Linked DNA regions of Lepisosteus oculatus. The protein of the gene in region 2 purifies or fractionates together with the protein of the main gene of each other region. This does not show direct contact. Links are inferred from orthologs where the notes say so. Each region holds a gene or a part of one and is shown on either strand. Other genes may lie near its edges.

Evidence for each region. The genes of interacting proteins can lie anywhere in the genome.
Region 1: the proteins of stx3b (region 2) and sybl1 purify together in Homo sapiens (co-immunoprecipitation; 3 studies listed by BioGRID and IntAct, with this or other methods). This does not show direct contact. The link is inferred for Lepisosteus oculatus from reciprocal best matches to the Homo sapiens genes STX3 and VAMP7.

The regions. Positions count from the first base shown.
Region 1 is NC_090703.1:47,620,252-47,627,950, forward strand, and holds the start of sybl1 (vesicle-associated membrane protein 7), read right to left. Parts: upstream 3,015-7,699; 5' UTR 2,862-3,014; intron 1,216-2,861; 5' UTR 1,091-1,215; coding exon 945-1,090; intron 45-944; coding exon 1-44. Other genes in the region: polr1d (DNA-directed RNA polymerases I and III subunit RPAC2), read left to right, coding at 3,492-3,533, 5,385-5,482, 5,842-5,918. UniProt on the Homo sapiens protein: Involved in the targeting and/or fusion of transport vesicles to their target membrane during transport of proteins from the early endosome to the lysosome. Required for heterotypic fusion of late endosomes with lysosomes and homotypic lysosomal fusion.
Region 2 is NC_090701.1:42,419,652-42,426,590, forward strand, and holds the start of stx3b (syntaxin 3b), read right to left. Parts: upstream 3,023-6,939; 5' UTR 2,641-3,022; coding exon 2,611-2,640; intron 1-2,610. Other genes in the region: GTP-binding nuclear protein Ran, read right to left, coding at 4,602-4,646, 6,034-6,204. UniProt on the Homo sapiens protein: Potentially involved in docking of synaptic vesicles at presynaptic active zones. Apical receptor involved in membrane fusion of apical vesicles.

The DNA of each region.
Region 1 (7,699 bases), on a different chromosome or scaffold from region 2:
ACAGGTAAATGATCCTGTCCTGACAGACGTAATGAAAGAGATAGCTGCAAAGAAAGGGGAGAAGGGGAAGTGAAAACAGTGCACGCAGGCAGCCACTCAGGCTTCGTTAGGTAAGCATTGCTGAAGCGGAAACTGAAAGACAGCTGTCCACGCTCCTCAAGAGGCAGCTTGGAGAAGCTCTTGTTTCTGGCTGATCCACGCAGCGCCGTTCCAGCTTGGAATTAAAAACCAGGGTGAATATTAAATTCACTTTTTTGAGTATGCATTTGAGCCATCCGTTACTCTTGGTTTTGAATTATTCACAGAGCCCCGTGAGGATTGCGCTACGTGGAAAAAAATGGTCTTAAGGTGCCCGAGTGGGAAAAAGGCACTTGCAGGCTGAGCTCTGTGATCCAGACCGGGAGATGGAACCAGCTGGCTGTGACTGGACTCCCCAGCAGGTGGCACGCAGTTGCCTGAGCACCAAGTGGGGTGGGGGTGGGATGATTCGGGCCCAGGAGAAACAGCGACCCCTGCAGGCCTGTGGTGACGCCCAGGAAGGGCGCGCGCCTCTCCTCCAATCGAGGCGGTACCTGCTGTACGTTATGGCCGAGTCTACAGCGGGTGGGTAGGGCTGGAGAAACCTTCCAGCACTTTCTCACTGTCCTTGTATGGGGTCACCACAGTGGGCTGAGTCTTAGGAACAGCTAACCTAATCGTAAAAGGTAGTTAGTTAGGCATAACAACACAACTGGCAACTCCAAATTGGGCAGATATAGGATAAGAAGCAATTGACAATGAAAACAATGCTCCTAAGGTGTTAGGCTTAGGGAAGTGATCAAGCAAGAGTGCTTTTCCAATCCCAGCAGAGGGCTGTTGCACTCCCCAAAAGTCAAGTTTTGCAAGCTGGCAGCCAGACACTCGGAACAGAGCCCCCTGGTGGCCGGCACGGGAGGGACACTCACTTGCTGTGGGAGTAGGTCAGCTTGTTGTTCTCCGACGGGATCTTGGCCAGGATCTGCTCCGTCACCTCCAGGAAGTTCCCGCCACACCAGGCGTGCTTGGCCAGGATCGTGGTGCCGCGCGCCACCACCGCAAACAGGATCGCCATGGCAACAGGAGCAGGAGGAGGGGTGATGAGGACGGGGGGGGGCTTGCGGAGGAGAAACCACTGGGAAGCAGCCCGCAAGCGTGCGAGTGGGGTGGGAGCACGGAAAGCGAGGCTGGGGCACTTGACTGCATCAGAGACACAAGACAGAAGGAGAAAGGTGTGAGGGTAAGATAAGATAAGATCACTTTATTGGCATATACAATTAGGAATTTGGCCATTAGGCATTAGGAATGTGTCTTTTCGCATACCCCAACTTGCTCTCCATGAGACACACAGACAGGGAGAGAAGCTTGAGGTCAGAGCGCAGGGTCAGACATTTATACCACGCCCCTGGAGCAGTTGGGGGTTAGGGGCCTTGCTCAGGGTAGGAGTAGGATTCCTCTGCCGGCCACAGGATTTGAACCGGCAACCTTCCAGCCACAGGCGCAGATCCTTAGCCACAGTACCACTGCTCCGCCCTAGTAATGTAGCGCTTTCGGGCTCACGTGGGTATGCGCCCTGCCAGCTGGGGAATCAAACCCGGGCCTCCGGCGTCACAAAACAGGGAAGCAGCCAGTCGAGCTACAGTGAGATCTGCCCCTCCCCATGACCTGCCACTCCCACTACTGCGCTCTGTAGGTTAGAAGCCCTCAAATGTCACCCGAGGCTGACTACCAGCTTCGACAGTCATGAATCGGACTGGCCCCCGGTCCACGGTTCACAGTGCTCACCCAGCACCTGCTTGGGCTCGAGCGCACTAAGCCATTCTACCCCATTGGGTGTGTACTGGGGCACAGGAATGCTCATGTGACACAAGGCATGTGATACAGCTCTGAACACAGCACAGGTACCGACTAGCGGGCCAGTAAACCCTTCCAGCTTCACCTTGGAGGACGGAGGGCAGTGTCTGGCTGCGTGCCACTGTGCACACCGACCGCCCAGGTGCGTGCGGTCGCTGGTCAGGGGGGTATGATCCGACCTGATCCACTTGTATGGATACAAAATTCCATTTGTATGGCTACAGGATTTCCCATACAGCTGTTGAAACAGGCCGGCTACCTTTACAAGCGCATTTGACCGCCGGCTGAGATTAACACCCGTCTCCGGGCTTCAGAGCTGCCCAGTGTAACGCGAACGGAAGACACCGGCCCTGGAATCCCACACCTCAGCTCACTCCGGGCTGCAAACGCACGCTAACTGCCCACCTGCCCCGGGATCCACCGCTCAGCCGCGCGCGCACGCCGGCGACGCCGTGCTAATTTAAACAACACTTTTTCCAATGCACCCCCCCCAAAAAAAACCGTTTGATTTCAGAAATACATGTTCCTGCAAACTATACGTCATTCCGATCCGGAAAGGAGTATTTTAAGTTCCCAAATCGTTTCAGCCCCCCGTCTTGTAACCACAAGAGCCGATTTCACCATCAGCTCTTCACCATGTAGCTGGAACAGACCGTGTTAACAGTCTCACACTGACTGTTCAACAGTGTCGGTTACACTGCGGTACCACTTTAAGCCGCGTTATCTGCCAGAGCTCGGAACATGAATTACCTTAGAATAAGAGCATATTCTAAAGTCTATTTCAATAGCTCCTAAACGACCTCCGCTGTGTTTTAGACAGCCCGCGTGGACCCCCCAAAAGCTCTTCTAACATGATTTTGTCAGCTTTCTCTTTCAATTCTGGAGACCTCTATACACACAGACACCTCCGTTTCTCCGACATGTCATACGCCGTAGATTGCAACGATACAGCCGTCGTAACACACCGCCATTAATCGTGCCCCGTACTGTACCTCTGAATCGCCTTCCGTGAAAACTACCTTCGGAACGGCCCTCTTTAAAATAAAAAACAGCGTATATTTCCGTAATCCTTCCCGTCCGTACGTATGTTTTTAATTCCCAGTTCTGAGTCACCTGGTGCTCCTCTGACGGACCACTTTCGTCTGTCCCTTGGAATCATGGGGCTTGTAGTTTACAACCTCTGCTGCGGGAAAAAGACTTTACGGGCTCAAAATATAACATTTGACTCGAAGCTGCCTTTGGAAATTAACTTACTGCAAACAAAACAACACGTAAGGAGCGAGTGAAGCGGTTTTAAAGGCATCATTCGGAAGTTAGAAAAACTTTTAAGTTTGATGTATCCGTTTAAATCAGTTCACTCTAATCCCCGTTTGTATTCTCTGGGACGACAAGGTTCTTGTTTTAGAAGGTTTTTTTAACTATGTAACTGTAAGTCGATTTTAAAAAGTGGATTTTACAATCGATGTAACATTGTTTCACTGTGCCTTGGCAGTAAACATTTTAGAAACGAGACAATCTAAGAAGGCGTCCGTGTAGTGGAATTCCACTACATTACCCACATTTCCTTGCGCTGCCCTGTCTAATACGTCACATTGGTGCGCCAAAGGAGATCGGTAACAAGCATGGCCACCGGTGAGGATGAGAAGAGACCTGTGCTGGAAGTGGTGAGTACTGTTCTGAGTGACCGTTTAAATGAAAATGCGATAAACTCAATGCACAAGCCCATAGTCTATTTTAGGAGTGGGGTGTGATTTGCGTCTGGTATTTGAAATTAAAATACGGTCACGGCGAACTTGGCATCAACGTGTCTACTCTGGCAATTGTCAGTTGGGGAAATTCTGTGATTTCCTTGAGCGAACCGATTTCGGTGAAAAATCTTACTGAAAGGAGCAGTTGCAGCATCATGTGCAGGGATTTAGCGAGTTTTGTTTCTCCGAAATCTTATCTCATGTCCCATATTTACCGCGCGACTCTCAAAACCCCCCAGAAAACAGACCACTACCTGAGAAAGCAGGGTTTATGGCAGTCCTTGTCTAAGCTAACTGTTCCCGTAGCCTAAAACGGTATACTAGCTATATTTCATATGGCCAGTTGTTCTCTATAACCTACTTAAGCGTCTTGGGAAAAATATCTGAAGGATAAGACGAACAACAAAAATAATTTCGTTATCGGCTGGATAAAATGAAAATGAAGTACGGTTTCTGTCACACTAGGGAGACTTTGTATGTCTGGACAACTTTCCAGACGATGGAGAGTTGTACGCTGCAGAATTATTTCTGTGTGAAATTGTGAAGTTTCTAGAGTGTTTTCATTTTTCTCGGCGATACCACCTTTTACCAGCTAGGGGGCACCCGGAGGTAGTGCTGCCGCTGACCAGCAGATCCTTATAATTGTGATTTCTTCCTGCGATCTGCGGGGATTATCACGTCCACCCAGCTCAAACACCCAGATTTCCCAGTTTCACACAAAAAAGGCTGAATTCCATCTCCCGTTGAAAAAGAGCTGAAGGTATTAAACATGTTTTGTTAGCTGTTTTTGCTTTTAAGTACATAGTGTTCTTTTTTTCCACGTTTCCTAAAAATGACTTGGAATGTTGTCTTGAAAAGTGGGAGCAGGGAATAGAGTTTCTGTAGCTGTCTGGGCAGACAGAGGCCTTCCTGTGAAAAAGACATGCTCCACCACAGGGGATCACAGAGGCCTCACGTGCAGCTCCAGTCAGGCAGGCTAGAGCTGCAGCCAAACCTGAATTCTGCCCTTTCTCTTAGGCCCAGAGGTGCCTCTCTTTCCCTCCTCAAAACCTCATCCTTAATCGCCGCAGTACTCGCTATGAAAGCTTGCTCGCTGCGCTTGTCAGCTTACTACTGGGCTTTCCGTTCCAGCTCCTCGTGAGCCGAAGGAGTCTTCTGGGTATCTCCACAGCCGGGCTCCCCCTTCATCGTGCCCTTCATCGATCGTCCGGCTTGGGAAATTGTGAAGCCTGGTTTTTCGGCTCCTAGCCTTTCATTTCTCTCACTGCTTCAGAGCAGAAATCAAAAAGATTGAATGAATCCGGGTATGAGCCCCGAACAAGGGGTTGATTGGCTGACCAAGGGTTGAGTAAGAGTCATGCCATCAGACAGCGGGGCCACAAGGACAGTGATCGAGACATCCCACCATCAGGGTTTCACACTGCTGCTCGGCACTCTGATTATTAAATGCAGATCCTGGTGCTTTGGGCAAGAGTGTGGCCTTGTTGTCCTGAAAAAGGAGCAGCAGAAGGATCCAAACTGCAAAAATGCCAGGATACAGCAGGATGGGCACTTTATCGTGTATCCCTAAAGTGCGTTAGCCACATTTTGCCCATCTTAAGCAAGGTGACGCCATTTCATTTACACAGACGTGGTCGGCGAACAGACTTCCGCTCAGGATGCGCACACCAGCGCGAGTCGCCTCACCCAGCCTGTTTGCAGGTCGTTTTGGCCGCCTGGTGATTTCCGAGAGGTCCTGATTGCCGCGGTGCCCTTTGTCTTCCGCAGGTGCAGGCGGAGGGCGGGGATGACTCCTGTGTGACGTTTGTGCTGCACGACGAGGACCACACTCTGGGCAATGCCCTGCGCTACATGGTCATGAAAAAGTGAGTTTCCCCTCTCTGTCTGGAGGTCCCGAGTCCTGGTGCACAAGCGCTCTGACAATCGCTTTCAGATATACTGGCCGCTGGCTTTTGTACCGATGGTTTCTTTGGTTTCATATACTGTAATATGTTAACTTGATACATGGCTGAGCTCAAAACAGCTTTTCGGACTTCCGGTATCAAGCACAGCCTTAACGTGTGGGAGACTGCAGCTCTTAAACCCCGGAATGTTTTAAATGGCTGTGCAGTGGAGTATTTCTTCAATTGCATCGACCTCTACGTTTGTCGTGTGTCGCTGTGTTGAAAATAGTCAATGACGTGTTAAAGAGCCGCCGGGTTCATGTGCGTTTTGTGTTGCACAGCCCCGAAGTCGAGTTCTGTGGGTACAGCATCACTCACCCCTCAGAGAGTAAGATTAACTTCCGGATCCAGACACGAGGTGAGTGCCTGTGTGCGTGTGTGCGTGCGTGTGTGATCTCAGACTCCTGACGGGTGACACGGGGACAATCTGAAATTGTAAACAAAAAAACAATTTTCAGATCTGCACGTCGCAAAAAATATCTAGTTTTTGCTTGTGCTCTTAATCCCCTTGCTGTTTCATTTCACCGAAGGCTGGCATGTTAAATCGAAATGGGGGTCCACGAAAATGGACGAAGGCAAATGTGTGTCTCTGGGGGGCTCCCAAACACCACAGCTCCCCCTCATTCGTGGGACGCTCTGTGGCGTGTTTGTTGCAGAGACTTTCCCCACCTGCCAGGAAAGCCCACGAAGACACCGGTTCCTCTGAGCAGCGTGAATCAAGCTTTGTTCTTGGTTATGTGGTAGTCGGCTTTCTTTGTGTGGAGCCCTGTGTTAATATTGGCATCACAAGTGTTTTTGTGTGGATCCAGCCCTTCTCTCTCTCCTTCTGCAGCAGACGGTTATTATCCGCAGAGAGAGATAATGGGGTCTGTTTCCATAGTTGGGAAATGGCTATTTTGGCTTTTTCTTTTTGATGTCCCTGGTGCTCTTCTTGGAGAGGTTGCACAGCAGAGCTGCATGAGCGTGTTTTGGCTGCTCTGCGTACGTGAGCTCCACAGTGACAGCCTGACCGGCCAGAAAAAGGCCTTTCACTGTGTCGCAGTGCCGTGGTCCCTTCAGTCTTTTTTGTTTTGGTGAATAGTTCTGCTCATTTTTATGGAGTGGGGGCAGAATTCAGTTTTTAAAATTAGATTATGAAACGATCCCTGGTGACAGTGTGTAGCCTCGGAGCAGAGCCCTTTTTTCTGGCAGGAAGCCCAGGACCACAGAAACAAAACCGCCTTTTGCTCCTAATTGTATTAGCTGCTTTAGAGGAGCACATTGGAGCAGGAAGAGGGATAATGGGTTTTTAACTGGGGTCCATAGAGGGGCCTCCGTTTTCAATCTGTTACACGCTGGGTTGCAGGAGCCGACCAGCTGTTGTTCCCAGAGTCTGGGAGCAGCGCATTTGTCACAGTTTGTACACCCTTAAGCACCTTCCCCCAGCCCAGCTCCAGAACGATGACCGTCCAAGTAGAAGAGGTCATCTAAAAATACAAAGAACAAGTGTAGAGCATCATGTACCTGCAGAAAGACACAGAGTATAGCTGATCACCTGGTGATCCTGGTCTGCTTTTATTTGTGCAGTGAGTTTTCCCCCCAGCTCTGAGGCTAATTTATGCACAGAAAAACAACATAGTCTTGACTATGTGGCTTTTTTTAAAAGAACAGTCCCAACCCCCGGGTCTGCTGCTCTGGCAGTACATAAAAAAAGCAGGGCAATTATCTGTTAAATGTGCAAAACCCCAGAGCCGACATGGCTGATTGAAGTCTGGTGCTTGTTGTTCAGACAGCTGTGTGAGGAATCTGGCTCCTGCTCTTTCTCTCTCTCTCTCCAGCTCTCTTCTGTCTCGGGAGCTGGTGCTGCCCGTACGGTCCTTCACGGAGACAGGTTTGCAGTTGCAATTGACAAAAGCATTTTATGAGGAACACATGGATATATAGGCTGCAGAGCAAAATGGTACCTGGAGAAAGACCGTTTCAGGGATCTGCGATCTTTGTTCATGACGGGTTGTAATTTTCTTTTGGGTTCTGCTGCCATGCAGAGAGCTTTGCTTCTGCTCTGGAGAGCTCCCTCTCCACCCCCGCACGCATGCACACGCACGCCCTGGGAGTGAGCAGAAAGGTAACGCGCTGGGGGTGGTTGTGAAAGGCAAGCTT
Region 2 (6,939 bases):
TGTCAAAATGGTAATTGGGTTTTTTGGCCGCAACGCGCAGAAGAAACGTTTGGAGAAAAACAGGTGAAGATTTTGGAGAAAAGAGCCCCTTGCCCGCCGTTAAGCTGGGCAGAGGAAGTAGCGAACAAGTGGAAGAAGAATGGACCCAGCTCAGTGCCAACAGATCCTAGAAGCTCATGTCCCAGAGGCAGCGAGGAAAGTGAGGTTGAGAAGAGGATATTTCAGCAGGACACTGGTCTGCAACATACCTCAAAATCAGCCGCGGAGTTCTTACGGGAACGAAAGATTAAGCTTTCGGAATGACCTTCATAGTCCCCACACTGGAATCGTTTTTAAAATCTGTGCGGGGATCTCAGTCATGCAGTGGGTTCAGGAACACTCTCCCAGCTCAGAAATACCACTGTACACTACTGTATTTCTGACCTGGGAGCGTTCGGCAAGGAAGAGAGGGGAGAAACCCCACAAGCTCGAACAGAAAAACTGTTCTCTGGCAGCGGGAAACGTTTGAAAGCTGTGATTTCGGCCAATCAGGATGTTACAAAGGACAGACAGGGTGCCCAAATGTGTGCACGTGCCATATTCGCCATATTATTTTATTAGGAAAATCTACAAAACTGTAAATAGATACTAATTGTGCAGAAATATATCATGTTCAAGTGTGCACCACGCAGAGGTCGTGTCAATTTCTTTTCACTTAGGGATTCACTAAAACATACGACTTCACCAGGGGGTGAACAGAGTTTTGCACACAACTGCATATTTAGTCAACTATTTATGTTTACAGATAGTATATCAGATGTATCAGAGGGCTTGCAAACCCTGTAGTAGCTACAAAGGAAGTAGGATTTACAGATAAAGAGTTACATGCATCTATAACAACAAAATACAAACACAAAATGGGAACCACTCAGCTAGAAGTGGCTACTTGTGAAACAGGCTGTGGTGTGAATATTCTTCTGAATAGTGTGAGGAAGCAGTTAAAAAGACAAACGAAGAGTTATGATACACAGCTAAAGACTAAGTATTGTGAAGTTCTCCACATCCGTAGTCAAGGGGTGTTGTGTTCAAACTGTGTAACTTGTTAGGACGTACGACCACATTTAGAATATTGTTCTATTCTGGTTCTGTTAATGAGAAGACACCGCGGCTCCGGAACCAGACTAGAGAAGGACAACCAGAGACATGCTGTGGGTGGAAGGAAAGTCCTACACTGGCAGGCTGAAGGAACTGGATATCTTTAGTCTTCAAAATCCTCCACGACTCTGACAAACTGAACCCAGAAGACCCCTTTGGAATGAACAGTGAAGCACCAGCCTGAGGACTCCGGCAGAAACAGCAGTATGTGGAAGAGCATCTAGGACTAAGAACCGGAGGCTCTTCTGTACACAAAGGGTGGTGGGAGTGTGGAACAAGCTGCCCAGGCCTGTTGTTGAAGGCGATACCCCGACTTTTTTCCAAGACACAGCTGGACACAATCCTGCGATCAATAAACTGCTGGCTACCAAACGGACCAGATGGACAAAGATCAGCTGCAAAGTGGACTTTCGCAAGTACAGCAGGATAATCCCGTTGCAGTAGGGGGGCTGTAACAGAAGAGCACTCAGACCCCGGCGCGTTCCTGTCTGCCTCTCCGCCCGTCGTGGGGGCCAGATACTACGTGTGTGTGTGTGAGCCAGTACACTCCTCCCACCAGGCAGACCGGCCGGTTCCAGCGCGACACCCCTCAGCGGGTTCAGTATGGAAGCGGCGGCGCGTTGCTTTACATACAGGCGCACCTGCGGGGCTGGGAGAGGCGAGAGAGCGGCGGAGAAGCAGCGAGATGGGGCAACGGCGCCGGGGGCGGCCCGGAGACAGGGAGTGGGGGCGGGGGGCCGAGACTCGGGGTGCGGGGAGCCGCGCAGCCTGTTGCCCGGCCGGGTGTGAGCGGGAGCGCCGAGAGACCAGCAGCTATCAGAGTGTCCTTGAGCACCAGCGACTGCAGACCGCCTTGTGTCCTTCCTTAATCGGTCCTTCGCCCCTCCTCCTCCCCCGTCTCCCGGCCAGCTGACAGGCGCAGACGTACAGGTGTCACCGGGGCTCGGCAGACTCGGAATTCAACACACCGGCACGCCAGAAACAGGCTGAGCAACTGAGCGTCTCCGTCCCAAACCCCGGAACACGACACGACAGCCGTGATAATCGTCTGCACTGCGCCGATGTATATATAAAAAAAGATTAATAAATAAAAACGCTTTTCTGCACCCCAAAGGACGGCCCGCTGCGTTATCCCCTCTCTCGCTTGTTTGTTTCTGAGGAGACCGATACCCAGTATCGATTAACGTGAAACCGGTTATACCGATGAGGATACGCCGACAGGCTCTGGATCTGGATTGTTTAAATAAACAATAAAACACACAAAAGCTGGATGTTTAACATTTCTCAAGAGACAATCCATATATTTGAAACCCTCAGTTTAATCATCTAAAATTAAATCCACTGTCACTCCAATGCAGTCGAACATCAATATTACATAAGAACTGTTGTTACTGCCGTAGGAACAGTGTGATTCATTATACAGCACACAAAGCTCAGTGAATTTGAAAAGACTGAAAAACAGGGAATTATACTCACCGCTTTGAGCTGGTCCAGGCGGTCTTTCATCTTTAAAGTTGAAAAATTCTCCTTACCGACTGACCAAAAACAGTAAAACCGTTATTTATAATATTTTAAGCACTAAGTCCAGACAGGACAGGAGTTTTCAGAACTTTCTTCTTCCCAGGAAGATCGTTCGAACTTTTCTCCTGATTTATTTTTGCGAGTCGTGACGTTTCACTGGGTTTAAACGTTACGGCTCTGCAATATGGAGGTTCTCCGCTGTCGGTGGCCCCGGTCCTCTGAGTCTATCGGCTCAGAGGGGATTAAACCAGCAGTTAGGCTCCCTGCGCTTAATCTCCCCCTCCTCCCTCTCTCTCTGCGGTCTTGTAGAGAAGCGCTGTGCCGTCCGCACATGCCCAGTCCGTGGAGCTGAACCTTTTAATTCCTGTTTACGCCACCACACCCGGACCCGTTTAATACCTGGAGGGAGCCGACCTGCCTGCATCTTAAAGGGACCGCGACGCTCAGTCCAGTGTTAATGGACTGTATTAACCCCTCTCTCTCAGTGCAGTGTTAATGTACTGGAGTGTCCAGTGTGTCTGGACTGTATTAACCCCTCTCTCTCAGTGCAGTGTTAATGTCCTGTAGTGTCCAGTCAGTGTGTCTGGACTGTATTAACCCCTCTCTCTCAGTGCAGTGTTAATGTCCTGTAGTGTCCAGTCAGTGTGTCTGGACTGTATTAACCCCTCTCTCTCAGTGCAGTGTTAATGTCCTGTAGTGTCCAGTCAGTGTGTCTGGACTGTATTAACCCCTCTCTCTCAGTGCAGTGTTAATGTCCTGTAGTGTCCAGTCAGTGTGTCTGTGCTGTATTAACCCCTCTCTCAGTGCAGTGTTAATGTACTGGAGTGTCCAGTCAGTGTGTCTGTACTGTATTAACCCCTCTCTCTCAGTGCAGTGTTAATGTCCTGTAGTGTCCAGTCAGTGTGTCTGTACTGTATTAACCCCTCTCTCTCAGTGCAGTGTAAATGTACTGAAGTGTCCAGTGTCTGTACCGTATTAACATACTGTAGTGTCCAGTGTGTCTGGAGGATAGTTAGAGGGTTATTTTGGACTATATGGTACATATTAATACTGTGATCTGTAGAGATATGGAGACCAATCATTGCGTGGAATCAGAATAGTAGTCAGAAAACTGTTGTAAAATGTTCAGGTTGGAGACAGCTTGGTAGGTTTTTAGTAGGTGAAGTTTTTAGTTTTCACAACAGCCTCTATCTCACTCAGAGATCAAAATGTTGCTCTTGACTTCACCACTTCCTTCACAGATCACGTTACAACAGTTTCTCAAGTCTATAAAGATACACACACTGACCAAGACACTCAGTTCAAGAACAGTTATCACCCCTACTCTTACTGACAGTGTCCTGGGTCTGTAATGACCAGTCAATCTAACATTAAAGTGAAGAACAGCAGCCCACAACACAGTATCTCTGGTCACCATACTAGGACACTGGCCTGGGCATCACGGTCCAGAGGATACAGAACCACTTACTGATCCTCCAGGACCACTAGTCTTGGGAGGGGGAACCTCCAACACCAACAGGAAGTCACATTTTTAGATATCTAACTCACCCACACTCATCTAACTAGACAGAAGAAACCAGGAAACATTCAAGAACATAAATTTAGACAGTTTTTATTCAAACTTTTTTCAAATAAGTGCATCCATATTTTAAACATTTTTCGGTATCTCCCAGCATCCACACTCTTCCTCCGTGTGCAATCTGCTGCCAGCACGACAGCCTGTGAAGTATTTGTCTTTACTGTATTGTCTGTACAGCACTGTTTGTCCTGTACCATACTGCTTGTCTGCACTCTCTCAACAAACTTGCATTCTTCAAGATGAAAAAAGTAAAAAAAAAAATCAAAATAATCTGAGACTGGGTTTTACAGTAAAGGTAATAGTGCAGCCAGAGCACTGTGACTCCCAGACATCTCCTGCTTCCTCTGGAGAGGTCAAAGGTCACAGGTTAGAGGTCATCCTCCTCATCTGGTAGTGCTGTTTCCGATGCCACCTAAGAGGATACAATAAACACGTGTCACAGCCCAGTGAGAAAGAGTGCCCCAGCGCTCTGCATGCACAGTGGGAAAACTGCAGCTCACAGTGAACAAGTGCTGACACCTAGTGGACCCAGCGCATAACTGCATCATGTTGTACTGCACGTCAAGTTAAGCACTGATGGGTATCTCGCATTAATATGAGCTATTCTGCTTTAACAGGAAATATTATTCCATTGGCCTATTTCACCAATGCAGTGTGTACAAAAGCCAGCAGGTGTCAGCATTAAAACTCGGAACGGATCAAACTGCTGAGCAACGGGAGCTGGATTTCCAATTCCCATACCCAGGGCTCTGGCGTACCAGAGGGTTCATTCCGGGGTTCGTACCGCCTTTCCCCAACCGAACGGCCTGTGGCCCGCGACAGCAAAAGGACAACATGACTAGGCTCATAATGACTCGGGAAATAAGGTTCTGTCCTTAGGAAAGACTGACTAAAAATCTCTTTTCTCAAACACGGGCACCTATAGATCAAACTCGTTCCACAGCTGGAACCATCACCGACAGACTGAGCCTTGTTTTGGGAATTAAGTCCCTAAGTGGGAGAAGTAGGGGGTGACTTAAATCTGACCACAGTGTGCATGTCGGCAAACACCTGCCCAACATGGCTGCCTGGACTCCTGGCCATCACTAGCTCTGGAAAGGCTGTATTGGTCCACATAGCAGTGCTGAGCTCGCAGTCTGGCATCACACACCAACTGAAAAGAAGCCCAGCTATCAGGGGGAACACAGTGGGTGACATCTGACACTAACCTGAGAGCTGAGTCCCACAGTGTCCACAGCAGAGTGAGCAGAGACTGGAGGAGAGACACAGCTCTCACTGACAACACTGTGAGCCCCACAGTGCCCACAGCAGAGTGAGCAGCGAGCAGTGTCACTGGAGGAGTGACGCAGCTCTCACTGACAACACTGTGAGTCCCACAGTGTCCACAGCAGAGTGAGCAGTGACTGGAGGAGAGACACAGCTCTCGCTGACAACACTGTGAGCCCCACAGTGCCCACAGCAGAGTGAGCAGAGACTGGAGGAGTGACACAGCTCTCACTGACAACACTGTGAGCCCCACAGTGTCCACAGCAGAGTGAGCAGTGACTGGAGGAGAGACACAGCTCTTGCTGACAACACTGTGAGCCCCACAGTGCCCACAGCAGAGTGAGCAGTGACTGGAGGAGAGACACAGCTCTCGCTGACAACACTGTGAGCCCCACAGTGCCCACAGCAGAGTGAGCAGAGACTGGAGGAGAGACACAGCTCTCACTGACAACACTGTGAGCCCCACAGTGCCCACAGCAGAGTGAGCAGAGACTGGAGGAGAGACACAGTAGAGTTGCTGGTCCAGCCTGTACCTTGAGGTCGTGCTCGTACTGCGCCGCCAGAGAGGGGTCCATCGAGACCTCAGGGGGGGCCAGAGCTGGCATGGCAACAAACTCCAGATTGGGGTCACCGATCAGCTTCCGGGCCAGCCAGAGGAAGGGCTTCTCGAAATTGTAGTTACTCTTTGCAGAGATGTCATAGTACTGAAAGAGAGAGGGGGATGTGGGGGTTCATACAGCCGTTTTGAAGCCGTGGTTCAGTCCCTGATCTGAGCATTGCTCTCTAGGGTTAATACAGCACTTGGCAGCCCAGTCCTGCTACTCAGGGAGCTACGTGGCTCAGTACGGGGGTCACACTGGCTGGCTGGCTCTTCTTCGGACCGGAGTGCTGTACTTAGGCCTGCAGTGACAGCTGACCCGCCCTAGACAGCTGATAAGGCCTCTAATGGTTGCACATAGAGACATGATGGGAATTAGTTCATTATTAGGTTTACTACTGAAGCATTAGGAATGCCACATTTGCCCCTGGGTGTCAATTAGAGTTTGGGATGTAAAGGGCGTCACGGTGTGGGGTTGTGCTGGAGAGGTGTGCCGAGCCCAGACTCCTCTCCCTGCAGTCTCCGGTCCACTGAGGGCTTTCACAGGCTCAGCCCTCACATGCCGCACGACTGAAAGGGGGGCCTCTGTTGAATTGCATCCCCTCCCGCTGATGTTACTCGAAAAGAAGTCAAGCCTGCGTACTCCTTCACGGTCAACACTGGAGCACTAACCACAGGACACAAGTGGAAACCGCATGGATTTGCAGTTAGAACCGGGAACTGGAGGCACTTCTTTACACTAAGGGTGGTGGGAGTGTGGATCGAGCTGCAGAAGCAGATATCCTGGTATCCTTCAGTAGCCGCTGGATGAGATTCTTGGACTGGATGGACAGTGGCCAGA